Linked DNA regions of Astyanax mexicanus. The protein of the gene in region 2 purifies or fractionates together with the protein of the main gene of each other region. This does not show direct contact. Links are inferred from orthologs where the notes say so. Each region holds a gene or a part of one and is shown on either strand. Other genes may lie near its edges.

Region 1 (8,224 bases), on a different chromosome or scaffold from region 2:
AGAACTACCATTAAAACTTTGTAAATGTTTGTTACTGTTTAAGCAAGCAACACAGAAATTTAGTTTCTAACAATTTTCATTTCACAATAATTAGTCACAAGACTCACCAAATACTGAAGAGTTCCCACAAAAGATGTGCAAAGGCTACCTTGATCCAAATCTTTTGCATAGCCCAGATCTATAATCTTGTGTACTAACTAAAACAAGACAAACAAATTATACAAGTTAGCAAACTACTCATTTCAAACTGTAGTTTTTTTCACATATAAAATATCACATACCTTTCCATTAATCTCTTGAAGCACAATGTTCTCTGGTTTTAAGTCTCTGTGAATGATTTTGTTTGCATGGAGATACTGAATTCCTGAACCTGTTAATATAAAAAAACATTTTCAATAACAGTATTTTTGACACATCTGAGTAGAAATGGAAGCAAATACATAAGGATATTATCATAGAGGTGATACATTACCGACATCATTAAGAAGGGACAGCACCTCACTTTCTTTTAACCCACAGCAATTTTCAGGTTTGCTCAACAACTACAAAAAAAAAAAAAGAATGGTATGAGGAAATAAAGAAGAATGGAAAAAGGAAAGTCTTCTTCAAAGCAGGTGACAATTACATGACATGACAGACAGGGCAATTAAAATAAGCTAATGCTTGAGCACACCTTACGAAGATCTCCTCTGGAACAGTACTCCATGGCTAATAGAGGTAAGTCATTCAAGGCAATGTGTTTCATCTCTTCAGGTACATCCCGTGCTGTCACCACATTGATGTGGTTCAATCTAGAAAGAGTTAACCAAATATTAAACTTTGCATAAGAAATATATTCAATTTAGAAAGCAAATAAGTAATCAAATTCCTTATAAACTTACTTTTTCATGATCTGAATCTCTCGACTCCATCTGTCTTTGTTTTTTGCGTTGAGCTCAAGCCGGCAGAGTTTCACTGCAATTTTCTCAGCGGTTTCCTACATGAAATAAATATCATTAACTCAACAACATAAACATAATGTAGCTACATTATAGATGATTCAGACATTCCCTTCAAAATATTCTAATCACCCACTACTTCCAAAGCTCTTCACTTGGTCTATTAGGTAGGTACTTGGTGCAGACTTTCCCCACCTACAACCCTAAGCGGCCAAAAAACAAATTTGCTTTACCTGATGTTGGTAAAGATACACATGACCAAATCCTCCGGTTCCTAGCCTCTCCTTCATAGCCCAGGGTCCACATACTTGAGTCTGTTTGAAAGGTGGTTTGTCCATCTAAAGGGAAAAACACTTGTTACTTAGGCCTGTCATAATAATTGCATTATCTAATTGCACAATATGTAGACATGCATATGAACATAACCTCAATATGTTTACGGAATATAGCATGTATAATTGTTGAGCCTAAATGTATGTTATATAAACACTATGTATGTTCCTGTTCTAATCAATAGTACTGATAATTAAAACGTCATTGCCATTCAAAGGGTGGTAATGCATTATATGTGACAGAGTAATATTGTGCCTTTTATTTGCTGTGAAGCCTAAAGATTATTTTTTAGATTTATATGCTTGCACTTAAAATGATTCAGTACAAAAAAAGTCAAGTTAGGCAAGTTAGCTAAGCTACTGTTTACTAAATAGACAAAATAAGTTTACAGATTTGTTTTGTTTCTGCTATATGCTTAAAGATAATAACTACACTTTCATGAAATAAAACTTAAAGGATTCCAATATTTTGTTGCAGAAGTGATTTCTTGCAATATTATTTAACAAAATATTACTGTTTTTCATCATGCCAAGAATATCACTACCGGAAAAATACCCTAAAACGTCGCAATATTATTTTCCGGCATGTTTCACTTCAATTTCTGAATCAGTTTATCTGATTTTGCTATTTATAGGTATATTTGAGTAAAATGTAAACATTTAATTTCTGTTTTAAACTACGGACAACATTTCTTCCAAATTCCAAATAAAAATGTCATTTAGAGCATTTATTTGCAGAAAATGAGAAATGGCTGAAATAACAAAAATATGCAGAGCTTTCAGACCTACAAAAATGCAAAGAAAACAAGTTCATATTAATAAAGTTTTAAGAGTTTAGAAATCAATATTTGGTGGAATAACCCTAGTTTTTAATCACAGTTTTCATGCATCTTGGCATGTTCTCCTCCACCAGTCTTACACACTGCTTTTGGATAACTTTATGCCATTCCTGGTGCAAAAATTCAAGCAGTTCAGCTTGGTTTAATGGCTTGTGATCATTCATCTTCCTCTTGATTATATTCCAGAGGTTTTCAATTTGGTGAAATTAAAGAAACTCCTCATTTTTAAGTTGTCTGTTGTTTTTTCGAGAGCTGTATGTAGTTAGTATCTAGTTAGCTAAGTTACCTAGTGTTAGTGATTTAACCTAGGTTACCTCGCTAGTTAGCTAACTAACAGCCTGAGCGACAGCTCAACACACTTGTATGTTTTGTATTTAGTCAAGTGCTATAAACAGCGAATTAATAAATTAACTGGTTAACTTGTGGAGTAATATTTATTTCACTTAGCTAATTAGTTAGTTAACGCTAAGCCTGACACTTCATTATCACTTATAGCTAACCAACAAGCGCTAACGTTAGCTAGCTAACTAGCTTAGCTAGCCAAGTTATCTTACCGCTGCCCGGTCTGGTCTGATTCACCAATCTGTGTGGCTAGCTTGAAAGTAGCCTGTAATTTGTGATGTGAAGATAATGTGCCAGATGTGAAGATAATGGAATATGTCAGTTCGTAGAGAATAACGGCGACATCCATGTCATCCTTGCGAAGCCCCGTTAAAACGCAACGTTACTGCTATTAACGTTACTTGGTAAACAGCGAGCCAGCTAGCCGCGTTAGCGTTAGCCAGCTACACGTAAACAACTTGGGGTAATGCAGCAGTCAATTAGGTAACCGCAGCTAGCAGCGGAGCTAGCTCAGAAAAGTCAGCCTCACACCAGCACTTCTCCCTGAAACACCAAAACCGGCCCAGATAACAGCCGCTAAACAGCACTACGCTACAACACAAAGCTTAAAATCGAGATTTCTTCAACGACTAAAGGAACAAACGCTGTAGACCAGCGCCTCACATACAGCTAACAAACTGGCTAGCGCTAGCACTCGAAATCGAAACAAGCTTAGTGCGCAGGCGCGCTGCAGACTACCGAGTTGCCGTTTGAGCTGATCAGAGATCAGTCTCCTAACGCAAATCCCGCTCTTTACACATCGCCCATTGCTAACAGAACCGATATCAGGTCAGCAGTACAACCTGATCTATCCACAACAAGCCACGCCCAATCAGGGCACGCTCTGCTCATTAGACACGCCCACATCGACACACCCACTAAATAGACCCGCCCACTTCAAGGCGCCCACTTAAACTCTTCTATGTCTCCGTATTTATTATCCGTATAATAATAATAATAAAACTTCAAAATAACAATTTCTGCATAATAGGTCCAGTTACAGTAGCATCAGCTAAATTCTTAAGCCGTATTCTTATGTCATAGTAGATAATATATGGCTGTCATATATTTTAGGAATTATGATAACTTTGTGTTATCAGAAATAGTTGTTACATAAAAGTGATTCCTGTCATCCCATTCAAAGTGCACTAAAAAGCCACATTTGGTTGCGGTTGGTTTAGTAACAGCATACACCTGCTTTAACTCATTAAGGAACAATGAGAAAAAATACAGTATAGCACACATGACGTGACACTGAATTTGTGATAACAGTTGCATATACAGTACTTTTATTAAAGTAATGATGGCAGTCACAAAGAAAAGGGGGGTTATATTGTACTTACCGTTGTTGTCTGATCAAGGGCTTTTCAGTTCGTATCCTAGATCATTTAATTCAATTCAATTCAATTCAATTTTACACAATTGGAATTGCTCTTGAGGGTTGGTAGGTGGCACTCTTTCACCACGTCACTTCAGTTGTAATTTTCATCAGCACAGACAGCTGTTGGCAGATGTATTAGATCTGGGGAGCTGCTGGTTACCCAGTAATGCTCCATCAATGAAGTCCAGACAGAGGCTGTGTCTGACTTTACATGTGTCAGAGGAGGCATGTGATAGTCTTCACTCTCCTAGTGCTGGGGGCATTGCTTGTGATAGGGGAGTTTACATGAACATGGATTGTGTAATTGGCCTTCCAAATTGGGAATAAAATATATTTCACTAAACTCTTTAGTAAGATCTGTACTACTATTACTAGTTTTTATATAAACAGCCAAAATCACCAATTACAAACAATGGCCTCTTTGGACCATCTTGTAACTTCTTAAGAACCTGCTTCATCCATAAATAGATCACAGCACAGCACTTGAAACTGTGGTAGTGGGTAAGATTTTAGTTTGCTTTTTTGAATCTATAAATACTGTATACAATGGTGTAAAATATTTGTTGCCCCCTCATGATATTTTTTGGCATGTTTGTCACTCTTAAATGTTTCAGATCATTAAACAAATTGAAATATTATTCAAAGACAACACAAGTAAACAGAAAATGCAGTTTTTAAATTAAAGGTTTTTATTATTAATAAGGGAGAATAAAATCCAAACCTACATGTGAAAAAGTATCTAAGTTTTGAGTTCATATGTACATAGTATGAGAAATGTAATTTGAGAGCCTGCTATTTTTTGTTAGGTTTTGTAAGTGTGTAACTTTACAAATTCAAACTACAGTGATATTTAGTTTTAACTTCATCAGATCATTCCGCTGCACCAAAATCATCAGGCTGATGCTTTGTTACAAAACTGCAGTTAAGGTTTCTTAATAATAATAATAAACTCGGTATGTACTTTTAAGCACAAGCTTGTATTGCCAAACATTTCCTGTAAGCAGCATCTTAACACCCAGAGTGTGTATATTTGGCCTTCTAGTAAACAAGAGGTGAATAAGTCAAAAGGAAACCACCCTTTTATCTGTCTTCCAGGAATATATTCTATTCAGGGCTTTTTATATATATATATATTGCATGCTGATATATTTATGTATAAGATATGTTAATCTGCAAAGAATGGCTATTATAAAGAGTGGCCATTAAACCCTTTATATTTCTGATGCTAACAGAGATTGTATTAATGAGGTGACCGGCCACTGGTAGATTTCTCGTAATGCTTATCGTGGTATCTGTTGATGGATGAAGCCCTACCCTTCAACAAAAAGAGCTAATCAGCTTGCTGATCAAAGGAGGGCCAGTGTTTTAATGGGAAAGTTCTCCTCAATGTGGAGATCTGTGCAAGCGCAGTAGCTGGAACAAGCCGAAAAATCACTTTTTTCAATGTACATGTTTTGACATCAGCTTTTCAAAACAATGCTGATCTCTGGCCAGCTGTTCAGATGAGCATATTTGTTGCGGTGCGGAGGCAATAACACATTATACAGCTGCTCCTCAAAACTTTCTATCCTGTCTAACCTGTATGAACAAAACACCAAACGAACAAACGAATGCAGGATACATGAGGCAGACATCAAGCATATGCAACATTAATATTAACAGTAACAGTAACATTACCATTAACAGTAATATTAGGTGTAAGGCTAACAACTAATTAAGTCACTATGGCCATTTTATACAAATAACAACAGATTACAGAGTAGACAGAGTGTCTGAACAATTAACAAGCCGAATGCTACAACTCAGCTAATGCATGTAATGAATAGTACAGTCCTGCAAATGGTCTGTTTTAGCCAATGCAGTCAATCATTTCAGTCCTTAGCATAAACTTGTCTGAGCTAAATAAGGTAAAAAAAAATAATTTCTGGAAGAAAATGATAGAAAATGAGTCAATTTTAGCACAATGAACAGAACTAAATCGTTTTTTCTATATACATTCATCGGCACTCATGAAAAACATTTTGTTCTTAAAATATTTTTTCATTGTCCAGAGAAATATTTCAAGTGTGAGAAAATTATGTAGCCTCCCTTTTCTCTCTATTCGAATTTCTCTGAAAGTGGTGCAGGTGTGATGTGTTAGACAGGAAAAACGGAATTGCTGTGAATTCGCAGTGTGACAGCCTCCCAATGATTCATGCACACAACAGCTGTGTCACACAGCAGCTGCAGCTCTGTGTGTGTATGTGTGTTATAATTCCCCTTTTTAGATTTTAATAAATACAGTACTTTAACTTGTAGATGGCAGTAGAGGAAAATACAAAACACACTGAATATAAAACTGAAATCAACAAGCAGCCACAAAACAAACTCCATTTCGTAATTCAGTATTTCTAAAAACATTTACATTGCAACATGCAACAGACAAGTGCAGATTAAGAAATGTTGTATTATAGGTAAATGTAGAATGTCTTTTGATACAATTAAAGAGAAAATCAAACTGTTTTTGCTGCTAAGTCCAATCAAAAAGGATGACAAAACTGTCATTATATTATATTGTATGTATTGGGTCGCTTCAGATGACCAAGATTGAGTTTAATAATAAAACAAATCAACATATATAGTATAGTATAGACAACATATCCAAATACAGTATATTATGTGTATAACATATATAGTAAATAGATACTGTGAATACATACATATATTTTGTATTATAGTGCTAACAACTGAAACCCATAAATAAAAAACCTCCAACCGGATCTATGTTAGACATTGTATTGCACATTCCCCCAACCACTGAATTGCACTGTACAGACAGTATTGCGCAGTTTCCTCAGAGTCTGGCTTTTATATCTTTTTTTAACTGAAGTCGGTACAAACCTGCTTTTAGGATGGTTAGGTTTAAACCTGAGTGCTTCTTACCTACATACCTAACTCTGTTCAAGAGAATATGAGCTGAATACACAGTAACATTGTTTATATTACATAACATTACATTACATTATGTTTGGCAGACTCTTTTGTCCAAAGTGACTTGCAATAGTGATGTACATTTAGCAATAGAGGACATAGAAGTCCAGACAGACAGATAGACAGACGGACGGACGGAAGGACGGACGGACGGACGGACGGACGGACGGACGGACGGACGGACGGACGGACGGACGGACAGACAGACAGACAGACAGATAGATAGATAGATAGATAGATAGATAGATAGATAGATAGATAGATAGATAGATAGATAGATAGATAGATAGATACTTTATTGATGCCTGAGGGGAAACTTTGGACATCCAGCAGCAGGTATACATAGTACACAAGTTACAAGAGAAGGATAAGATAAAACAATACATATAAAAAATCAATAAAATATAAAGTATAAAAGAACAGGAAAGCGAATAAGGAAATGAGATTAGAGGTAGTTAGCTTGTTGGGGGTTTTAGGAGAGTAGGTGCTCTTTGAAGAGCTCTGTTTTCAGGAGTTTCTTAAAGATTCTTAAAGCAAGAAATTCTCCTCTTCTGGCATTAAAAGGTAGTTTGTTCTACCATTGGGAAACTATGATTGCTTTGTGTGAATGTATGGCGGTGTGAGAGAACTAGGTGGGTTTAGAAATAAGGAATAAAGCAGAAGGTTGTTACAAAGATTGTTACAAAAGCAGTGATTCTTAACCATCAGTTCTTGGGGCCCACCAGCCAGTTCCACATATTTACACATAAGCAAAGATGTAACCTTTAAATGGGCCCCAAGCCAGGCTTGAGAAACATTAAAGTTTGGATTAAGCATTTAAATCAGCTGGATTTGAAAACACATTTTACAGATATTGAAACCATGGCCTTGAACACACACTCTTACATTAGTGAATCTGGGTAGTGGGAGCACACACACACGGAATGATGGGCAACCACCTCCACAGCCACAGGAGTCAGGTGCTTTGCTTATGGGCACATAGGTGGTGTCAATGGTTAAAGAGCTGGGGTTCGATACCTGGACTTGGCAAGGTGCCACCATTGGGTTTTCATCCCACACTGTCACATGTTAACATATGGGTAGCTCACTCTGCGTTCACACTGGAAACAACAACACAACAGGTGACCATTCATTTCCTATGGCAGGGCGCGATTTGTCGCCGTGACAAACAAGAGGCGACAAGCGATAAATGTTTTTCAACTTTATGCAAATGAATTATGACGCTGTGAATGCTGTGGCAGTCAAACCTGATTGGCTTCTAGCATTTCTTTGGACCAATCACACACAAGGCGGTCCGAGGTCCTCAAGCTTCTGCTCTCTGAACTTTTGGTTCCTTTCGCATTCGCATTCACCCTGTCTTATTAAAATCTATTTATTTTGAAC
Region 2 (8,053 bases):
AAACACAAATGTACCTACAAAACACACACACACACACACACTAAGAGTAATGTATAACCTACTACTGTTGAGTACTACTGATAGTCACCAGTCAGCTACCGATGAATGTTTAACGCATTTAAAAAACACACACAATAAAAGAAATAAATACAGGGCTACAACACAATGGCGTCAGATAAAAAATAAATAAAACTCGCCGTTATTCCAATTGCATTACCATACCTAATTTAAAAGGGTGTTGTTTAACGCACAGGGTGATGTGATCCAGCCCGCCGCCTCCTCTGTGTTTTAGTACTGGTGGGCTTGCTGTGGGGTATTTTGGTGGGATGTACACATTCTAGGACATTGGGTCCTACTGGCGGCTACACTGAGCGGCTATTGGCTAACACAATGGCTGGATGAGTAAACAGGAGGCTAAGCCACACAACAGATAAGCGAGGCAGGCTACCCTGAACTCCGCAATAAAAATGTCTTTTGTTCCGAAGCTCTAAAGCCTTACTCGCTCCGGCTGACGGCTCCGCCATGGACCAGCCGACTTACTTCCACGTTATGAGTAACAAGGACATTTTGTTCCCGGGTGGACTGTCGCTCCGGCAGATTTAGCTAGCTTGTGGTGTTTAGCGCTGGTGATGGAATCCTTTTCACACTCAGGGGGATTCAGGGGGTACAGACTAGCCCATATTCAAGCGTTGCACAATTTTACCCTGCTCCCGAAAACAGGACTAATTTTAACATTTCACCGCTAGACTGTTCTGTTCTGATAGATAGAAACTGTTCCGTTTGGGTTGTTTTTCTCTCTGATAACAGAACAAAAAAAATCACATATCCTCAGCTCCAGATTTGGGGACCCCGTGTTCTATACAGGTTTAACCATTCCCTTCCCGAGCACACCTGACAGTAGCTCAGCAAGGCTTTCATCATCTAAAATATAGTATGAATATTACATTTAATATTAATATTTATATTTTATTAAAAAAAAAAAAAAAAAAAAAAAAAAAAAAAAAATATATATATATATATATATATATATATATATATATATATATATATATATATATATATATATATATATAGTTTTGTTTTTGTGAACTGACCCCTTTTTCTGTTCGGTGTGTGTGTAAGTGTGTTTGTGGGCTATTATGAAATGGTTCTGGCAATAAATTATTTCAAGTGACAGAAAACAGTGGAAAAGCAGTGACAGCGACAGAACCCACAGACATTTACTTTATTTATTTCTTAAACGTATCATGAGGGATTCTGAGGTCGTGTTCTTGCATAGAGGAAATTAACTACCATGAGTACAACATGTACCACATGTTCCTCCCCCGCTTTTTACGTTTTTATCATTGCTATTCTGGGAAAGTTGATTCACGTTTATGTTTAAAAACACAAGCCACAAGGCTGTTTTTTCTGTCTTTTACAACCTTTAAAACCTTTTATTTCAGTTTGGATTTTTCATCTACTGTACTTCTGACCCCAACGTAAAGTGATTAAATTAGTTTAAAAGTGAAACGCTTTATAGAAAAATTTAACTAGGCTTTAATTGCTTAGTACAAGTTCATGACAAGAAAATACAGGTAGCATCCAGACTTGCAAACAGGGAATACACACACACACACACACACACACACACACATATATATATATATATATATATATATATATATATATATATATATATATATATATATATATATATATATATATATATATGAAAGATGATCCTTATCTGTCTGTATACACAGCAAAACTGAAGTCACTGTATTGTAGACAGATGGATATGCATGTAAACCACATGCATGCAGGTACTGAGATTAATAACAAAAAATAGAGCAATGCTTTTACAGGAAGCTTATGCTTATTTTTTATATTTGTTTATATAAAGTATTTATGTTTTAAGTATTTTTATGTGTTAAGTATTATTTTGTTCACATTTGTTTTAACATCATGAAGTAATGACATATTGTTACTTATTTTTGTAGCATGATGTACTACATGTAGAACTACAAAGTGTCAGTAATTAAGGGCAGAAATACAATTTTTATTTTATTAGGACACTCTCAGACACTGTCTACGAAAAGGTGAAGAGTTAAATGGGCTTTTAGATCCTAGAAAATGTGTTTGGAATGCAGTCAGGTGTCTCATTATAATTAGGTGTCTCATAAGTTAGTGCTACTGGAATTCTCAGCAGTCAACTGAAATGTACAGTATGTCATCATCCAAACAGATGGTCGTATTTGTAGGTGGTGCAGTTGCTGTATAGCCTGCTGTCAATTTTAAATATTGAGTCACATCCTGAAAACTAAACTGCTGTCATAGATTCCTTTAAATACTTCAAAGTCAGAGAAAAATAAACATAAAAATAATATTACACTATGATTTAACATAATAACAGAATAGTAGCTTTCCACAATCAGTTCCTCTCCAATTTGTTGTAGAAAGAATCATATTATAATTAAATTAAAGAAAATAAACATTAATTATAGAGGATCATTTTGTGTAAATAAAGATGATGTAAGACAGTGACCTTTACTTAAAAGTTCAAGTCAAAGAATAGCACCTGTGTAGGCCATGTTTTACACTGGGTGTGGTGTACTTTGCCTGACAGTGAAGACACCTCACTGTTCCTCATTACAATGTTTGACTCCTTTTATGAAACTGGCTGTAAGTCTTGCTCAATAACCACCATGTTCTCTTACACAGCACTGTTTTTCATGGTAAACAATCAATCAGTTAAAATCTTGGCAACAAACATGGATCTGATTAGCATGTTTAATAAAATTGACAATTGAGAAGAAAATCATTCTGAATGTTACCAGGTTAATTTGTTTTTAAAACACACACAGCAGGAGTCGGGCAAATGCTGATCTTTGGCCTCACTTGCACAGTCCTGGCAGGGTAATGTGCTGTTCTGAACCTGTGTCCTTGAATGGCTCTGAGTGTTCTTTGTTTAGTTCTTGTGTCATCCTTAATGAGCATTTTGCACACTAAGCCTTGTTAAACTGCCAACTGCGTGCTTAGGCATCAAGACTAGTCTGCATTTGATGCTGTTATCCTCAGTGATGATACGGTGCCTGCAGAAGCAAAGTGTACAGTTTCTGGCAACCTGACACTCGAAAACATGAGGCTCTGTCAAAGTGATACATTGGCATACAATATACCTTTTTATTTTCAGTGTATGAAGAAAAACAAGCTGATTCCAGACCATTCATTATATATTGGATTTGGGTTCATTTTTTATCACTGTCACGAACTTAGTAATTATTGCTTAGACTTTTTTTCACCACAATTAATATAACAGTGAGTCTTGATCTCTTGCAGGACAGTATGACTAAGAAGATCTTAAGGCAGACAGGCTTTGGATTTGAGGGTTATCAGCTGGAGGGGGAAACGTCATGTCTCCTGCTGCACTATGAGAGAACAAACATGTTGCAAATACAGGTATAACTGTGTGTTATTTAAGTTATTATAGTCAAATCAATAGCTATATAGCGGAGGAAGAGTAGTTTTATGCTTTGATAACATGAAATATGTTTACTTATTGAGCTCTGAAAAATAAATAAATGTACTTGCTCAACAGAATTAGTGGAGATTTGCAGATGGTATTTTTGTTTAGTCTAGTTGGCATGTACCAACCTATTTTGATCTACAGTGAAAATTTCACAATAGGCCTATTCACAGAAATCTGATTATTTTCTTGCAGGCCATTCCTGTTGGCACTATACACTCTGCTGCTTTTCCTTTCTTTGAGGCGAACACGAGCACTACGCTGAGGAACACAGGTGTGAGTCTTTTTACAGTCTTCTTATGTTGCCCAGCCACTCATATATATTTAATTTAACAAAGCGAAAAAGAGGCCAGACTGAGAAAGGTGTAAGGTTTAAAGAAAGAAAAACAACAACAAATAAACAAAATTATCAATAAATAAATAATAAAAAATATGTTTTTGAAAGACATAAAAAAAGCCTTTTACTAATACTATTACTGCTAGAAATTAAACTTTATCTGGCTATCTGGACTAAGCACAATGCTCGCGGTGTGTCCGTAGCGCACAGCAGGCTGCGTGAACACGCTGTTCCCTGCGGGAGTCGGCGCGTAACGGGTTACGGGTCAGGGTGTCTGAGCTAGGACACTGTGTTCTCATCACAGCGAGCTACAGTACAGCCGGAACACTGTGTTACTTTTGTGGTGGTGGAGAGTTTACAGGACCTGCCTCTCGGATTTTCGGCCACGCCCACATGTCTCGTCGCCCCTCCCCTTCCCCAGTCTACTCCATGTGGCTCTCCTGAGCGCTGTTGTGTTTTACACCCCACCCATATTCCGACAGGCCACGCCCACATTTGCTGGGATTGGTCAGTAGTCCATGCTAATAGAGGCACACACACACTGAGACACAGCTTCTAGAAGAAATGCGTGATTATTTATGTATTTTAAAGCTTAATCCTGCCAAAAAAGGGGATCAGCGTGTGCAGTCCGTCTTCTTTATTACACTGTGTTCCATTAAAGCATGAGCAGGAGTCTGGAATGGGGCACAAAGGGAGTATCGCACTTAATTTACTTAGTAAAAAGGAATGCAATGGTTGCAAAGAATAAAAAGATACATAAAAAAGAACGTGGACTGGAATAATAATAATGTGAAAAAAACACCGGCCAGTAATTTGGCCCGTTAGTGGACCGCTCGAGCGTGTGAAATACTGACCAATCCAGGCGCCGGGGGGCGTGGCTTCTCGGAATACGGGTGAGGTTAAGGTGAAAAAAAAAAAGACCCACGGCGAAACGTGCCGGTGGAACATTGAGTACTCTCGCGCCGGGAGGGCGGCGTCAGAGCAGCAGCACGCGCATCGCCGTTAAAGCGCTCGCGCTACATGTTGCACTCGTCGCCGGTAAGACTCAGCCAAAGTTACATGCGGATACACACGGAGAGACACATGAAAGGACCCGGGTACAAAAGAGAAATACTGTGAGTATTTTCCTTAATTTCATCATCCTTTAGCTGCTTCCACCACACCATCCCATCAGCTGATCATGTAAACACACAAGCTGGACTGAACTGTAATGGATAAAACGTTAGAACCATTAAATAAAAATCATATCATCATTATAAAATAAAAAGTAAAACAAAATATTACTAGTTGGTACACTTAACTGTTCTCTTTATTTAAACATAACCTATATCCATCTGTAGATGTAAACATATTAAGGCCAAAATGTATATATATATATATATATATATATATATATATATATATATATATATATATATATATATATATATATATATATATACACAGTACTAAATATCAGTCTTTTAGTTAAAATGATCTTTTATCTATCTACTTACTGCAAGAAATTCCAACATGTTATGTATATTATTGAAAATGCATTGTCATTTATGTCATCTGCTAACTTTTCAAAACAAAGAACAATTTAAACCCAACTTATGCACATAATTTTTTATGTATGACATAATTTAAAAACATGCACGAAGCTCATACATGTCCTGCTTTAAGCTGCACATACATGTACAGTTTGAGAGACTGAGGGAGACTGAGGCATCTTCTTAAACACTGATGAGAGGGAGAGAGAGAAAGAGAGTTCAAAACAACTCAGTAAACCCGTCTCTCTCTCTCTGTACAGAGGCTTATGTGGAGACACACTCTCTCACCCAGTGTCCCCATCATTAAAACTAAAGTGTTGCCTACTGTCTGGACCAAGCATTTAATTATAAGCTGTAATGTTAGAAGGATTCTGTAAATACGAGAGGCCAGATACTTTACTATGAACAAAGACTGAAATGTTACTGTTTAGCCTTGGCTTATCTGTCTTCCCAATGAAGGCCAACATTCAAGGATTTCTTTCTTAGACTTATGCAAGTGTGTGCGTATGATAATTTCCCCACTTTTTGCATGCAGGACATACCTGTTCATTTGGAACATTTTGTACAAAGCGGAGAGTAAAGTGACATCAGTGGAATGCTGTGTTTGACACGTAACAAATTGAGCCTTTTGTTTGAAGGCATATAAAGAAGAGTGATGTGTATGAAAATGGAGTGGAATGGAGAGAAGAGATCCACATGTGTGAAGAACATATGTGTCATTTTGTGTGTATCGGTGTGTATGAGGTTAAGCTGTTTTGCTGTTAAGCTGTTGTGTCTTGGTGTAGATGATGTGTTTGAGGACGAAATGAGTCAACAGCCATGTGTCTTCATCTTTGTTCGAGGAGCGTATGCTGAGAGTGAACCACACGAGTGAGAGCTGAGGTCTAATTCAATTATCTAATGAAGAATCATGTAAAGATGCAATGACCTGTATAAGACTTGCTCATGTAGGTTAACACAGATTTCCAGAAAGTAATTGGTAATTGTGCTTACAGCAGTGAGAGAAGCTATTAGGTGTGAGGAATATATATTGAAAAAATAGCCATTAGGTATATGTATATGAGAAAATGTAACCTCTAATGATATACTCTGTTATATAATACATATATTACTTAATTTATATATATTTAATTAGAATATATTGCAAATATTTAATCATTTTTTCCCAGGACCAGATACTGTAGACCTGAATTCAGCTCCTTAAATGTTAATACTGCTAATCCATTCACAGAGCAAATATTTAAATTTATATACTACATAAAAAGACAGAAGTCAATGCTAAGACTGATATTTTTTCTTTGCATATTCGCTAATCAATCACCACCACACACACTAAAAGCTATTTAAAAAAAAAAAAAAAAAAAAAAAAACCAATGCTCACTGGTTATGCAAGACCATGTGATTTTTTAATTGATGAGTGTTAATTGAAGATTTATCAGCTTAAATTTTAGGTACATAATTGAGAAGCTAACATATAATGCTGTATTCAAAATCATCATGCGTCACGTCCAGAGAGCACAGTGGCCACGTCTGAGTTAAAGCTCAGTACTTTCATATGAGTGTGTATCTTCATTTCCATGTGGTTTGAATTGTATTTTGCTGTCATTGTTATCAGTTAAACATATGTATGAATGGGGTGTTTCCACATATATCATGGTACATGTTTTTGCTTTATTTCCTCTATGTGTGTGTGCATGCGTGTGCGTCTGTGTGTGCGGATAAACATTAAGTTCTTTTGAGCAAGAGCCTTGAGTCATAGTGTGTATCTTGCAGGACTGGACTGAATGTTCTCTTCTCTGATGTGTTTTTGTTCCTACATCTCTCTGGTCAGTCCCTAGACGTAATACTCACGAGACACTCATCTTCACTCAATCTGCGGATTTAAACCGTTCAACCTAATTAGCCCCCAAACAGCATCGTGGATGGACATAATTACAGCACCAATTACGCTGCTGGCTTTTGTTTGAGTTGATAGATCATTTTAGGGCAGTGACCAGTGATCATCACTGTCCAATAAAAAACAAATATCTCTAATTTAGTTGATTTTTAGTTTACTACATCATTTAAACACACTAATCTTTTCACTGCGTCAAAATTTCTTGATGAATAGACCAATATTAATGATCCAAAGTTGCATGAAATTAACTCTTTTTGCATTGACTTCCATTGAAATTTAATAAACTGTAAAGTTGCTGTTTTAGAGATAGAGATTGTTTTTCAGTGGACAGCGACAAGATAGTCTTGGGAAATAGAAATCTGAGATCAGAGATGTCTCATGGTTTGGTGGTGTAATAGGTTAACCTCTCTCTTCTGATCGAACCTACTAGGTTGAAATGTTTCTGTGTTGCTTTACCACTCAGAAAACTCACAGCCTGAAGATAAGATCTTGTTTTACCGGAGCATGAAGAGATAAGGTTATACAGATGTATTGATGAAATCTCTGATAAAATCATTTTATGTTGAGATTTAAATAAAATAAGTGTTTTTTTAGAGTTGTTTAGGAAGGCAGTGAAATGTGCTCAAAGATCTGATCCAAATACTTAAATGATTATTGTCTTTGATGAGAAATGCTTCTATGTATCATCTGATTGATTCTGCTATCATTAAAGCTGTAGAACCTTTTTTGGCACTGTGGAGAACATTTTTGCTAATTGATGCTGAGCTATTTTAAGAACG
Region 3 (7,807 bases), on a different chromosome or scaffold from region 2:
ATCTCAATTTGCCTCAATGTTAATAATCCAGTAATTATATGGATTTCATTAAATGTTATTGGTAAGATATTACTCTTAGTAAAAACATAAATTACATAATTATTTAATCACCATTTACATAAACAACTATGAATAAAATGTCCATGTTTTTCATAAAAAAACAACAACATTAAACTCAAAGCATTATTCCTCTATTTGATTTGTAGCCTAATTTCTTTTTCAGTACTTTTTCTTGTTATGTAAAAGAAATGTATTCAACAAGTGCAGTGAAGTAGGTTCTGTTTCTAAGGTGGATATGTGAATGGCCAGATGTGGCCCCAGGGCCATAAAATCCTTTTTCACTTTAGCCACAATAGCTAAACCCAGATAGCAAAATTACATTAAATAATTCCCTTATTTCTCCATCTCAAATGTTGATCTCCAACATCAGGGTTGATTTATTTATGCACATCAATTTTCATTTGATTTAACATTGATTCAACATTGAGCGTAGTGATGAAAAAGGTGTTTAAATAAAAATCATATTTTTTTATAATAATAATAATAATTTATAAATAAGGTGTCTTTTTGAATTGAAGAATTTTGAAGATGCTTTGCACTAAGACTTTGAAATATTTGTCTACTTATAATACTTATAATATAATACTTAACTACTAATTGAAAACAAAATCATGGACTCTGTAAAAATAAAACAAAAGACTCTGTATCTAATGTTTAACAAATTGTTTTGACAAATAAGGTCCTAAAGTTAATAAATCCTAAAATAAATATATTATGGCCTCGATAAAAAATAACAAAACCTTTAGTCGATTTATTATTATTATTATTATTATTATTATTATTATTATTATTATTATTATTATTATTATTATTATTATTATTTCTGATGTGTTTATTTATTTATTTACTGTAAGGAATATAGGCTGTTCTTAAAGCACTGCTGTATATCAGCCTAGCAACAGCACGCCTCATCCAATCACAGCGCGCCTTCCGCAGTGGGGCGCGTTTTGATTGGCTCCCTGCTGCCACGAAGCGACAGCCCTCTCAACGCACGGATGATGAATCCTCGCGCCGCTTAGATTCAACCAGACCACTGAATTAAAACAAATATTAAATTTAGAGATAGTGGAATATATAATTTAATTAAACTCAGCACACAGAGTAATGTATGTGATCAGAAAGTCGAAAAGCACATATAATAAGGGTTTAAACTGATGGATAGATTTACTCAACATTAAAATAAATTATAATAAAAATATATAGTAATATATGTGTGTTTGTGTGTGTGTGTGTGTGTGTGTTACATTGTACACATTGTACATCAACATACAATCCAATATTAACAGTAAAACACATAGTGATAATAAAAGGTCTATAAGAGTGGTATGGGAGATTTTCAAGGCAACAAACACTGCTGACCTAAAAGTATTTTATTTGCCAAAAACATCTTTATGATCTCCAGGACTTTGGAAGAATATTCTGTTGACTGATGAGAGAAAAGTGGAACTTTTTGGAAGGCGTGAGTCTTGTTACATCTGACAAAAAATGCACTATTCCGGAAAAGAACAAGAACACCATATTTAAAGTCATACACTGTGGTTGTTGCTGCCAAGGGTGGCACAACCAAGTTATCAGGTTTAGGAAGCAAATATATAAATATATATGTACGCATATATACAGCTATGAAGAAAATCAAGAGTCCTCTTTAGTTTATGAATCAGTTTATCTGATTTTGCTATTTATATGCATATATTTGATTAACATGAACATTGTTGTTTTATTCTATAAACTACAGACAACATTTCTCCCAAATTCCAAATGAAAAATATTGTCATTTAGAGCAATTAATTGCAGAAAATTAGAGATGGCTGAAAAAAAAACAAAAAAGATGCAGAGCTTTTAGACCTCAAATAATGCAAAGAAAACAAGTTCATATTCATAAAGTTTTAAGAGTTCAGAAATCAATATTTGACAGAATAACCCTGTTTTTTAATCACAATTTTAATGCGTGTGTGTGTGTGTGTGTGTGTAAACAGTCACTTTTCGTCTGGAATAAATAAATCTCTATGTATCTCTATCAATCTTTTTTTAAATAATGTTTATATAAATCGCTCTCTCTCTCTCTGAGCTGAGACTAATACAGTCAGTGTCTCTTCATCAGATGAGCTGATTTTTTTTATGTCTCGATCTGACAATAAAAATGTCACCTCTGATTCTGCTGTTGTCCAGATACACGTGCATTCTAATCACAGAAAGTATAATTACCACTGAAGCAGCTGACTGGTGCTTGGCCACGGTTTGTGTGACTTTATGGAAATGGACTGCGCCCTGCATCTATTATTAAGGCCAATGCAACAGCCAACCAGCACCATAACAATGGGTCACAGCAACCAGATGAAAATTTATTAGTAACAACCAAGCAACACCTTAAAAACAATTAAAAATGTCCTGACAACCGCTTATCAACACACTGACAGCTGCATAAAACATCATAGCAGATCATAACTGCTATAACAATACTTCAAGCTGCATAGTAACTCTGAGGCAACCATCATGAAACCATCCTAGAAACTACTTAACAAATGCTAAACAACAGCTGGAGTAGCAACCAAAAAATACACCTTTGTAACCTCAAAGCAATATCCTAGGACCCATGTATACAGGAACTAAAATATTATATTCTACTAACAATTTAGCAAGAATGAAACAACTGCCTAAAAACACCATAGCAACAATCAAAAAATGCCATAGCAATCACATAGCAACTACCTGTTTTAAATTAACCAGCAATGTTGATGTCAATCGAAATTTCTGCTTATAAATTAAGATTATGTTTTGACTCACAGTGATGCTACTTAATTGTTTAACTCAACTTCAACCTGTATTACATACTGCATACAAAAGAAAACTTCTTTAACTTTCTTTTTGTATGTTTCTTGTTTTTTTTTGTTTTTTTTTTTTTGTCTTAAGAATGATTGTAAACAATCCATAGTCCTAACAAGCTAATTAAGGTCTTGGTAAAAGTTATCTGAAAGCTTTTTTTTTGCATTTATTTTTTATTGAAATTTTTACTACATTATTTTTCATTTTAAACTTTATTCCTTTTGAAAATCATCTTATATTCACTTGCAACATTCCCCTGTAACAGAACAAGGATGAGCAGGGGTGCCCAGACCTTTGAACGCCCCTCTTTTTGTTTGCTGTTAAAATTTTTAATTGTTTAATATATTTTGTTTAATTATTCATGATTATTTTTAATATCATTACAAATGAAAGATTATTACCAAAGAAGAAATGCTAAGAGAGCACACTCCTCTATTTCTTTGCTTTTAACCCTAAAGGAACTGATGCATCACTACAGGACTGTGTGTAAATGTGTGATCATGTGACATTATTTACAGAGGTGTGCTGGGTTACTGCTGGAGATAGTTCATTTTAAAGGTGTATGTTTTGCTATTGTATTCATCCATTTTAACAATTAATGTTTGAAACCCTATAAGACTAATTCTGAGAATTTCTAGAACAAAATGTTAAAATCCAAAAAGTTATGTCATTGCTTCATTTACATTAAATAATATATTTACAGGCAAGTGCCCATAATAAAAAAAACATTAATGAGTTGCTCACTTCTTCTTCTTCTTTTCGTTTCTTGAAGCTTGTTGGTTATATGATTGTTTCCCATTTCTTTACACAGTCTTTTGCGTTTTTATTGAATATGGCAAGATCTTTTAAGCTGCACTGATTGTGTAGTAGGGGCAAACAAGGCAGTGCTGCATTGTGTGGTCCTCTCCACATTCACAGGTGGTTTGGCCAACTTTGTAGTTGCTCACTGAATATATTTGATTACATTTTGAATTGGGCATCAGTATTTAGAAATTAGTCTGGGCCCTTATTGTTTTTTTTTGTAATATCTAAATTTAATATCTAATTAGATTTAGACCTAACCTAACATTCCAATAACTCAGTAATGTTAGGTTGCCTATCATTTGGATATGTATACACACTTACAACTACAGCATTACACTTTGCCATAAGTTTATATAAAACACAAGCCATTTCTGATGTTAAAAGTACATAATTGTGCAAAGATTAGCATAATAATTATAGTAGTAGTAGTAGTTGTTGTTGTAGTAGTATATTTTACAGTGATGCACTATATAATCACAAACCAAAATTATTTATCAAGAAAATTTTTTTGGCTAAAAAAATTTCTGAATTATGTTCAACAGCACTATACATAACTGCTATAATTTCTTTTTTATGTACTCACCTGTTACTAATTTTGCATTGTAATAATGATAATTAAAGAAAACAGCACTTTTGGTGTTTGGCCAACTAAGTGAAAAGATTTATGATGAACACTGATATTTTCTTTGCAACAAAAAACAAACAAACAAACAAACAAACGAACAAAAAAGTTTTATTATTTAAACCAAAACCCCTTAACTTCTATCACCTGCCTGAAATCGAAGTGGGCGTGGCTAGCGCCTCGGCCCAGCAGTGGGTGTATGTGGGTGGGCTGACCCCGCCCATTCAACCAGCGCTCCGCCCCTTTTACTTGCTTTATTCCACATTTAGGCTCCGCCCCCATGACAGGACCGGAAGCATCTCATTTTCACAATGAGTTCAAAGTGAGAAGGGGAGAAAAGTTCGAGAAAGCTGAAAAAGCGTAAAAATATTTGCGTTTTAATCGTTAACGCTAAAAATACCGAAGCGCGCACGCTTAACCGGGTTGGATGGAGCGCGCGGGGCGCGAGGACGCGCAGATGTGATGATTTGGGGTGGTTATTGGGTAATATTGGGGTGATTTGTGGTCAGTCTGGCTGGAGACAGCGTGCTAGTTTGCTTCGCAAACAATACGATGGTAAGAGCCTGAACTGTTTATTAATTCGATGTGTGATTCGGTTTGTTTGTAATTTTAGGAGATATTGTTGTTTTTTAACCAAATGTGTGTCTTGCAATTACGCAGCGTCCTTGGGAGTCTTTTAAAGTGTGTGAGCATGTGCTTGGTGATCAGATTAATTGATTAGTTTGATTATTGATTGGTGATCAGCTTTGGTAAGATCCCATTCTTACTAATTAACAAAGAGCCCTCCGAAGGCCACCACGTGTTGAGGAAGGAGCTGGTTAAGGCCAGTCAGTGCACCAATGGAAACACTAGGCCTTTCCATATCTTTTAAACAGAAATAATCATGAAAATATATGTGATATAAACTCATCTGTGTGTTACCTGAATATTTATTAAATGATAAAACGTGTTTCTTATTAATATACAACTTTAAAGAGCTAAAATAGCGCACAAAGCTACTCTTAACTTCGGACTGTCTGTTCCACCTTAAATGTGCAGCAGTTACATTCAAGCGCCATCGGGGCGTCTGATGTGCAGTGACGGCAACTGCTGTACGTTTAAGGTGGAACGGAGAATATAAGGCAAGAGCCAGTTATGTTTAATCAAGTTAGCAAAGTGATTTTAAGTCTTCTAAAAATCCTGTTCTTTGTACGTCATTATATAATCACCGCATAACAGCAAAATACAACTATGCCAGTGTTTTCTAAACAGTACAGAGCTTATATTTAATCAATAGACGAAAACAATGGAGAAAAACTGGTTAAATAAGTTAAAAACTTTAAAAAGAAAAACTGTAGTATAAGTTGGTAAAACATTTAAGAATTAACAGCTTAAATTTATAAGTTTTTTTTTAAATGTGTAAAAAAATAAATAAAATAAGCTAAAACTAGCTATAGATTAAAATAAGTAAAGCAAATAAGCAAAATAAGTAAAACAGTACTAAGTAGTAAAAGTAATGTAAAATAAAATGGTTACAGGCAGAGTAAAGGTAGTGTGTGCAAATGATCTACAATTACAAAATATACCCCACCACAGTCAATGTGTTTGTTTGTTGGGAAACAACATTAAATGTGATAAACAAACTGTGTTAATCTGTAAAAAGTGATTATGGGGAAGGTGTGTTTTTGTTTGTGTGTTTGTGGTGAACCTCAGGAATGTTAGGTTGCCTGTCACTTTGGAAATGTACACACACTTAGCATTTATTAAGCATTTCAGTATTACACTTGGCCTAAAGGTGTTTACATGCAACACAAGCCATTTCTGCTGTTATAAGTACATAATTATGCATAGTTTTGCATAATAATTATGGAATAAGTAGTATTATATTTTGCAGTGATGCACTATATACTCTCAAACCACTAAATTATTTGGCAACCAAATTTTTGTGGCCAGAAAGTGTCAAAGATGTTCAACAGCACAATGCATATCTGCTATAATTTCTTTTTGTACTCACTTGTGTCTAATTTTGCATAGTAATAAAAGTGATTATTGTTTTTAGGCATTCGCCGAAATTGTTTGGATGTAATTAACAAAAACAGCACTTTGGTTGTTTGGCCAAATAAGTGAAAAGACCAAAGAATTGATGTTAAATAGTTGTATTTTCTTTGCAAAAAAACAGGTTATTAGGACAAATAATTTAGAAGTGAAACAAAATATCGAAAATACCAATAACTACATATATTGTCATTTTAGTTTGCAATACATTATCATTAACCAGTGTCAAACATTGTTTTTATTAAAACGTCTCACAATTTGACTTAATGAAGTTACTTCTTCAGTACTCCACCTGATGGTCCTAATCAATATATTATATTATATTGTGAGATCCCATATGATTTGCTATTCAGCTTTCAGTCAAAGGTTTTAATTTTGGTTTAGGCCAAAAAATGTCATTTTGCATCCTTCATATCTTTTTATTTGTCAGTCTTACTGGTGTTTATAATGACCAAGAGAAATGTTCCAAATATCTGTTTCCATTATCTTTCCTTTTCTGTAGGCTTGAAGTCTATATTCAGAAGATATTATATTAAGTATTCAATGGATGAATTCAGGTTTACATAAATTGATTGATTTCTTATTAGCTCTTTAATCTCCTCATTCTGCAGGCTATGACCCAGGAGGGCGGGGTCCAGTATGAACCGGTGGCGGAGATCGGCGGTGGTGCATATGGGACTGTGTATAAGGCTCGGGATACACAGAGTGGTCAGTTTGTGGCCCTGAAGAGTGTCCGTGTTCAGACTGACCAGGAGGGCCTCCCGCTGTCAACAGTTCGAGAAGTGGCCCTGCTGAAGAGACTGGAGCAGTTCGACCATCCAAATATTGTCAAGTATGTACTGTCTGATCCCATTTCGGATCAGAATGCTGCACTATGTAACTCTGCCTAACCTGAGTCATGTTGATGTAAAATCCTTTATTATTCCTCTACCACATCAGTCCACTGCTTCTACATCTCACAGCTTGTCCAGAAATGCACGTGTACAGCTGTCCACTATAGTGCAAACAGAGCCAGATTTATATTTACTGCAGTGATTATAATACTCACTTATATTTGCTTTATTTACTTAACGGTCACTGCTTACATCCTGTGCGTTCTTTGTTGAGCAACACATACTGTAAACTAGAGGAAACTTTAGAGTTAACAGATTTTGAGAACAACAGACATGGCGACGGTGAATGAGACAATTATAAAAAAAAAGGCAGCAGTCTAGGCAGCCATAAACAAGCGCACAAGATAAATGTGTATCAGTACGAACAGAGGTCTTAGTTTAACTATTGTGTGGAATTACTCTCCACACCTGTAGGGGGAACCCAGGAGCAAAAAGTACCAGCTCTCAGCTTCAGCTCGTGTAGGAAACCTTGATATTAAATTTCATCTTACACTAAAATCCGCCTTCTTATTTTTTATGAAATACAATAGGTCTCTCTGAATTGTATATGGATGCTGCGCATGAAACTCTT
Region 4 (7,775 bases), on a different chromosome or scaffold from region 2:
TTATTATTATTATTTTATTAATTCTTGTAGAGGTTGACCTGAATGATCCCAGCACTAAAGGTGAACCATATGACTTCAGAATCGTCAAGTGGCTTATTAAAGAGAAGGTACGTGTATACATCACATTGACATGTAACATATTACAACCTTTGAACCAAAGATACCTACAGTTGTTTAATGAAATGTATAAGGTTGTGTTGTATATGTGCCCTCAGGGTTTGGCCACCATCCCTGTATCTGGATTCTACAGCCAAGAACACAGTGGTGACTTCCAGAAGTACATTAGGTTCTGCTTTGTCAAGGTAATTTGATTCATTTTAGGTAAAGAAGTAATAGGAATAGCATTGTTTAAATAAGTGCCTGGAGCCAGACCACAACTGGTCAAGCTCTCTCTCTCTCTCTCTCCTCGTTTCTTCGATTGTGATGCTGGCTGGTGTCTGTTAGCTAATATATATTATAGATGGGGGTCTGGTGCATTGCTCTAAGAGCACTGGTTACCTAGTAATGCTGCAGATAAAAAATATACTGTGGCTGACTTCATATGTATTTGAGAAGGCATGTGCTGATCCTCATCCTCCTAGTGTTGGGAGCTTTGCTAGTGATGGAGTTCCACTGAGTGAGTTGGTCAGTTGGCTCAACTGAAGTACTGAAGTCAGTCTCTGCAAAGAAAGGTTGATCTTGGACTTTACTGACCTCCGATATTCAACCGCTAGTCGCAGTTCATTTTTTATCTTTTTGTCTGTTTATGCCAAATTAAATTATAAGGGTATCATTAAAATGTATCACCATTAAAATGTGATAACACTGACAAACACTGAAACATTTTTTAGAAGAACAGATATATCTTGTGCATTTTACACTGATGTAATGGGATCTCTTCAAAGATGGCAATAAGAGCAGGCATATTTTGGTATATTGAAACATTGTAAAGGCATGGTTTTAGATTTGTAATTCTATTTCTAATTCTAATTTTCTTTTCCTAAAATAGGAGGACTCAACACTGAAGGCAGCAGAAGATATACTGAAACAGTGGAGAATCAAACAGTGAGTGCTGGCCACTTTTGAAGACATTAGATGATTATTTAAAGCCGTCCAATATGAGCTTCACACAGCAGACCTCAATAGTTGGACAATATAATTAGCCAAGGACGCCTGGTTCAGTATAGTTCTATAGAAAAGTGTTTATTTAGAAAATGTTATATTTTAATATTTGACAAAATTGTTTAATAAAAGCTGGATTTTAGTATTTTTTTATTCATCTTGTTTGAATGAATACAAACTTAAATAGAACCCGTAACAGAAATTTGGGAAGTGAAACTTTTGAATCATCTGAGGTAGAAATACGTATCATAATGATTCATGTGATTTGCTATATTTCAAAATGTTTGTAAAAAAAAAGTTATGCTGAACAGAATGTAGTCAGCAGTATTTGCTGAGATGCAGCTTATCTAAAACTGTTCTAGTGAGTAAGTGAATCATGCATTCATACAGGGAGGAGTTAATTTTACATGTGGTGATTTTACATGTTTGGCCAACAGAGGGAGCTAGTTGCTTCCATCAAAAAGAAACATTACAGTTAATTAACATTTTAATAGAGTTGTATTGTGTACTAAACAACAACACAGTCTTATGTACATTTGTCAGTTTTGATCAAGGTATCTTTTGTTTTGTTTTTCACAAAAATATATGTTTTTGCTTAATTCTCAGGATTTGGTTGTAGTCAGCTGTTTAATATTAGTTAAACTACCTCAGCTCACAGCAGCCCATCCAGCAACTTTCCACACTAAACAACAGTAGTCTGATTGCTTATGCTGTATGCATTGGGTTGTATTCATTAAAACTACTTCAGGTTGACTGTAGTGTTGCACAAGTGTGAATGAAAAATGCACTCCTTTAGAGAAATCAACTTCTTATTGCTCATACAGATTATTTGTGAGTCTATACAATAGACACACTGTTTTTATTGATTATGATGTACAAATAGATGTCTGTTTGTCTGTTGAGTTTACTTTCCATCCTGTTTGTTTTAATGCCATTTTGGTGTGTGCAAGTTGTACTGGAATTAGGTGGATCAGTGTAAAATAAAACATGTTTTGAAGTTGAATTTGTGTCTTCTCATTATATGTAGAATTCTATATTGAGTTTGAACAAAGTGCATTAATGTGGGATATCTCAAGTCTAACCTGAACTTGTGGAATTTAAAAACAAGCAGAATTTGTGGAATTTTACATAATTTCAGAAATGTAGTATTTTTAAATGAAGTTTAAATAAACATTCATATTTATCCAGATGACCCTACATTAGCTGACTGTTTGCAGCAGCTGTGATTGTCTGGGCAGTGTTAGGGGAGCTGAAAAAGAGCATTGTGATTGGCTCAGTTTATCAATATTCAATGTCCTATTACATCCTTCTTCTGGAGTAGGAGAGGAGGAGTAACAATAGTTTCTGAACGAAAGGAACTGCCTTCCTCAAATGCAATCAGCACATTAGTACTGCACATATTATCTATGCTAATGTTCACTGCAAAACCAGTATAGTTCCACACTTCAGAAATTAAAACCCAAAAGCAAAAACAAAGGACGTGAAATTGATTTATCTTAAACTAACCTACCCATTAATATATTTCTGGATTAGCTAGAAAACACCTATAATGACATACAGAATAAACAGTGAATACTGCCATGATGTTGCATCATCTTATGCTGCTTCAGATTCTTAAACTCCTTAAGTGGTTTCATTTGTTATTGGTCAATAGTGAACTAATCTATTTCTATGTTTGCTTACATATTGATGCACAATTCAAGTCATTAAGATCCTGTGCTTTAAAAGTGTGTATTATGTGCTAATAAAACATGTCGGCTAACTGTAATTATCTGTGTTGAGGTTTAATCTTAACATGTTTCCATATGAGATAATAATTTAGCACAAATCTAAAAATATGCTTTGGACACATTTTAAGAACCATTAAAATCTGAGTTTCAAAAATTAGAAAAACATTGTTTCTTGTGTGTGTAAATACACAAGAAACAATGGTATATAGTAAATTAATGTAAAATCCACTTTTTCTTGTTGTTTGTGAAATATAATAGGTCTCTCTGAGTTGTATATGCAGGCTGCATATGAACTGTTCTTTAACCTCCATTTTTGCAGTAGCTAAGAAAAGAAAATACTCAGAAAAATTGTTGTTTAAGAAAAGCATCTGTTTCCACATCAACTTGTGAAATAGTATTCATAGCCTCACCAGCTAGTTCGCGTTTAAATTGTAGGTTTAAATTGGCTCTCCGGTGGATTCCTCGTTTTACAGAGACCTTAAATAAACACTAGGGAAGCACGGTTTGACAAGGTAGCACAACTCGACAGAACACAGGTCAAATCACCCGATTTTATGATATAGAGCAGACTCTATGGGGCTTCAACGTGGTGAAATTGCCTAAGCACCGAATCACCAAGTCTGAGGTAAGAGTTTACTAGTGTTGGTTTAGCTGAAAGAAATGTCACCAATGCCGCGGGGGGCTCTGAGAGTCTGACATTAAGGAAAGTGTAAGGGTTAACTCTACCTAGCACTCATTTTGTCCTTCGAGTTTTAGAGCTCTAAAATTGACTGTTGGGGGAAGGCAGGAAGAGTTCTCTGCTGCAGTGCTGTTAGCCCATCAAAGGCTATATGTTTGCATGTATGAATATTCATGGACAAGAGTTGTGAGGACAGCTAAAAGAATCATCAGTCTCTCTCCCCTCCATCACCGACATCTACACTGCGCTGCATCCGCAAAGCCACCAGCATTGTGGACGATCCACCCATCCCTCACACGGACTCTTTGCTCTGATGTCGTCTGGCAGAAGATACATGAGCATCCAAGCCTCCACTACCAGACTCTGCAACAGCTTTATCCACCAGGCAGTCAGACTCCTCAACTCACAGAGATCACAGAGATCAACCTCCTCCCCACACACCCAACACATTCACACAGAACTGATCTGACACCCCCCTCCCCCCACACCACTGCTTTTCACATACACATAAAGATTGTACTGAACCGACCCATCATTCTACACAAACACACACACACACACTCTATGTTGTCTATTGTATTGTTGTTTGATCTTGCACCATTGTCCCGGAGGAACGTAATTTCATAACAAAAGCCTCTTAACTTAACTTGAAGAGCAGAAATCATGTCCTTCTTTAGAGACCACTAATACTTTTTTTTTTTTTTTACAAAAAAAGGGCTCACATGGCATTCATTCATACTAGAGACCACAACTAGACAGTTTTAAATTGTCCATGGTTTGGGACAAGGCTTATGAATCAGAGTCTCTTAACATGACTTGAAGAGCAGAAATCCTGTCCTTCTTCAGAGACCACTAATCCAGTGAAATAAAGCAGGGTTATACAGAAACACTGAAGCACTTCAGCATTCATTCATACTCGACATTTGAATGAAAAACGATGGAATAAGACCTGGAATTAGAAAAGTTTTTGGACGCAGCCATAGTTTTTGGCACACGCTTATGACTCAGAGTCGACTCCGAGTCGAATCTTGAATCGAGCAGTCTTGAATCCCGTGGCTGCAGTGCGCCCCCTACAGTCTGAGTAGTTCACTGTGGGCGGAGCTCTGTACTCAGACCGGCTCCGCTGTAGCTCGGCAGTAGTTGGGTAGTTCAGTAGTATCGCTGCTGCTTTCCGCTGTGATCGTGTCCGTCCCTCCGCCGCGCAGATCCGCACCGCCGCTGCCCAGCCCCGCCGCCTCGGCTCGGTCGGGCTAACGTGGGGAAGATGGCGACTGACAAGCCCAAGCATGAAGGCAGGGTGAAAATCGGTCATTACATTCTCGGAGACACGCTGGGAGTGGGAACATTCGGGAAAGTTAAAGGTAAATCTTGTGTATTTTTAGCTGAAATCCGCGTCCGGAGGATGATGATTATCACTCAGTGAGTGAGTGAGTGAGTGGGGGCTTCAGGTAGCTAAGGAAACTAACCCACCCGTTAGCCGCGTTAGTTAACCGCTAGCATAGCAACACTAGCTAAGCTAGGCTAGCTAACGTTAACTGACGTTTGCAGCTTTTCAGAAGCGAATTAAGTCTCCCTGGCCGTCAACACTACGCGCATTAAGTAGTTTGAAGCGAGGTTTAGCGCTGTTTATATGCTGTATGTTGATTATTCTGCTGTTTCGGGTCCGTACGCTGGTTGTTTATATTAGCTAACGATAACTAGCTGGCTAGCTGGCACTAGCTTTATCTGTTAGCGAGCCCGCTGGTTTTAACGGGAGCTAGGTTAGCTAGGCTAAGCAGACTTGGTTCCCGGTCAGTTTAACGTTTAGCAGATTAATTTTCTGACCGTATCAAACTAAATTCGAAATTAGAAAATTATACTAAGAAAATATAAATAAAATTCGAAAATTGGGTATAAACCGTAGTCATACATTTTTTTCACTCAGTATAGTAAAGAAGAAATCCAAATGATTAATTCTGTAGTTTCACTTCAGCCTTTGCCTTTCACGAAAAATTAAAAGGTAAGTCTGACCGTTTGAAGCTAAATGCAAAAATGGAAAAGTGGATGTAAAAACTCATTATTTATTTTTTATGTAGTTTATTGTACAAGAAATAAGTTTTCATCCATTTTTCCAAATAATTTCTTTATGTCTGCCCCCCCACAAAATCGAGAGAAGGTTTACCTTTTCATTTTTCTTGCAATTCTGATTGCGAAAGGCTAAAATGAAAAACTAGATAATTAACAGTTTGGAGGAAAACCAATTTTTTCTTCACTCTGTTGAATGAAAAAAAAATGTTTGATTAAGTTTTATACCCAATTCTCTATTGTCAGAAAATTCAACTGCTAAACGTTGCTTTATGATCAGTGTAACTATATTATTGAAATAATTTGAGTCATCTACACTAAGTAGCTTAACTATTGCAACCAGAAGGAAAATTATATCATTAAAAATATAAGGGTGTTAAAAGCCTTATACATTGAGTACATAAGCGTGTCCAGAGGTGTATTTGTACAGCAACTGCAGTGAATGAGTCGGGGTCTTGTTTATTCAACACAGGCTGACATCATTATGTACTTTTTGTTCTCTAAGCATTAATATATATTAGGAATCCCCAAAGGATCACATTTCTAGCATCTTTTCTATCAGCTTTGATATAAGGTGCAACATGCCTTCTACGTGTTCTAACTTTAAAAGAAGTCCTGCTCCTTATTTCAGTGCTAAACAACTTACTAAGTGAAGCATAGGTTCAGGTTTAGATAGTAGGATTTAATATCTGCATGTTAGAATTATGTATTGCATATTGTGAAAATGTTTTTAAGTATTATGATTGAATATTTTTACCTTACTTGTGGTCACTAATTATGATTTTAAATGTTTGTGGTTGAGAGTAATTCATTTAATGAGGGTAGAATGATTTTAGTATTGGAAGTTTGATGGATTTTTTTTTCTGAGGGTCTCTCAATTGCTCTCTTTTGTGTAAACTGTAGTTAGTGATTAAATCCAGGCATCTGAACTCATCCAATCAGTGTGAAATGCAAGGGTGGTGGATTATGCCACACACTCACCATTAAATGACTAGACTTACTGTCTCCAACTTTTAAACTTAGCAGTAATACATGTTTATCTTTTTCTTTTCTCTAAGCGTTGCTCTTGTACCTACTTCAGCCTGTATAAACCACTAGTTTAGTTGCAAGTCTTCTATTGTTCTGTGTATGCGCTGGTGTTGTATGTTTTAATTTGTATCCAAGACTACCTTTTTGTTTATCTGCTGATGACAGCTGCTGCCTAGACTAGGTGCATTAAGTAAGTGCATTAGTAATTATTATTTACTTATTTTAAAAACAAAATAATGGTAAATAATATTAAGTAAGTACTGTGCACCCCTTTCAAATTCATTAAATTTTTCTGTTTTAATTTTTTAAATCCAGAATGTTAATATTAGTATTGAAGACTGTCAAAACTATGAAGAAACATGAATAGAAATATGTACTAAACAAAGAAAGTGTTAAACATTCAATGATATGTTTTAAATATTTCTTCAGAGATGCACCATATTCTTTGATGACAGTTATGCCAACTCTGGGTTTTCTCTCTGTTCACCTCATGAGGTTGAACCTCAATTATTTGTCCAACAGTTTTGAAGAAGTTTTCAGAGGTCCTGAGCACTTACTTGTTGGCTGCTCTTCTTTCACGTCTTTCTGTTCAACTAATTCCAAACCATCTTTGAGTTAAAAATGGGAAATTGTTGAGGCCAAATGCTTTTTCATTTACTGCTTAATTTCATGTGTTCATAACAAAGAAACATTACATGAGATTACGAGTAATGTATGAAGGCTGTAACTTAGCTAGGCTATGGTAATTTACTTTTTCATAAATATAGGAGCTTCTTCATGAAGAATCCTCTACAACTAACGAATTACACAATATTATCACTGTTCTATTGGCAATCTGTTTAATTTTGCAGACAAAGACACTTTTTACCCCTATTGTAGTTATTCTTTAGATTAAATAGTTAATAGAGAATTAAATAGATGTTAAATAACAGAGTTATATGAACCATTAGTTAATGAAAACTCAGAGTTTGTGCTATGTAGGCTTGTGTTTTTAACCCAGATGGTTGCTCACAGCATGCTTTGCTGTTTACAGTTCATGCATGTTTGTCTAAGCCACATTCAAAGCCAGAGAGGATCATTTCAGTGGCCAAAGAGAAGGTTATTTGTTTATAGGTTCTGTAGTCTCACTCTTAAAAAGGCTCTGCAAACCGGAGGCCATTTACCCTCCTCAG

The links.
Region 1: the proteins of fkbp5 (region 2) and chuk purify together in Homo sapiens (co-immunoprecipitation; 4 studies listed by BioGRID and IntAct, with this or other methods). This does not show direct contact. The link is inferred for Astyanax mexicanus from reciprocal best matches to the Homo sapiens genes FKBP5 and CHUK.
Region 3: the proteins of fkbp5 (region 2) and cdk4 purify together in Homo sapiens (affinity purification with mass spectrometry; 3 studies listed by BioGRID and IntAct, counting the BioPlex papers as one, with this or other methods). This does not show direct contact. The link is inferred for Astyanax mexicanus from reciprocal best matches to the Homo sapiens genes FKBP5 and CDK4.
Region 4: the proteins of fkbp5 (region 2) and prkaa1 purify together in Homo sapiens (affinity purification with mass spectrometry; 3 studies listed by BioGRID and IntAct, with this or other methods). This does not show direct contact. The link is inferred for Astyanax mexicanus from reciprocal best matches to the Homo sapiens genes FKBP5 and PRKAA1.

The regions. Positions count from the first base shown.
Region 1 is NC_064414.1:37,826,250-37,834,473, forward strand, and holds the start of chuk (inhibitor of nuclear factor kappa-B kinase subunit alpha), read right to left. Parts: upstream 3,176-8,224; 5' UTR 2,664-3,175; intron 1,277-2,663; coding exon 1,172-1,276; intron 977-1,171; coding exon 882-976; intron 792-881; coding exon 674-791; intron 543-673; coding exon 473-542; intron 371-472; coding exon 282-370; intron 198-281; coding exon 108-197; intron 1-107.
Region 2 is NC_064412.1:16,106,102-16,114,154, reverse strand, and holds the start of fkbp5 (peptidyl-prolyl cis-trans isomerase FKBP5), read left to right. Parts: upstream 1-4,771; 5' UTR 4,772-4,865; coding exon 4,866-4,960; intron 4,961-8,053. UniProt on the Homo sapiens protein: Immunophilin protein with PPIase and co-chaperone activities. Component of unligated steroid receptors heterocomplexes through interaction with heat-shock protein 90 (HSP90).
Region 3 is NC_064431.1:16,097,932-16,105,738, reverse strand, and holds the start of cdk4 (cyclin-dependent kinase 4), read left to right. Parts: upstream 1-4,594; 5' UTR 4,595-4,861; coding exon 4,862-4,864; intron 4,865-6,954; coding exon 6,955-7,175; intron 7,176-7,807.
Region 4 is NC_064408.1:16,914,496-16,922,270, forward strand, and holds the start of prkaa1 (5'-AMP-activated protein kinase catalytic subunit alpha-1), read left to right. Parts: upstream 1-4,625; 5' UTR 4,626-4,774; coding exon 4,775-4,871; intron 4,872-7,775. Other genes in the region: kyat1 (kynurenine--oxoglutarate transaminase 1), read left to right, coding at 31-107, 216-302, 989-1,048. UniProt on the Homo sapiens protein: Catalytic subunit of AMP-activated protein kinase (AMPK), an energy sensor protein kinase that plays a key role in regulating cellular energy metabolism.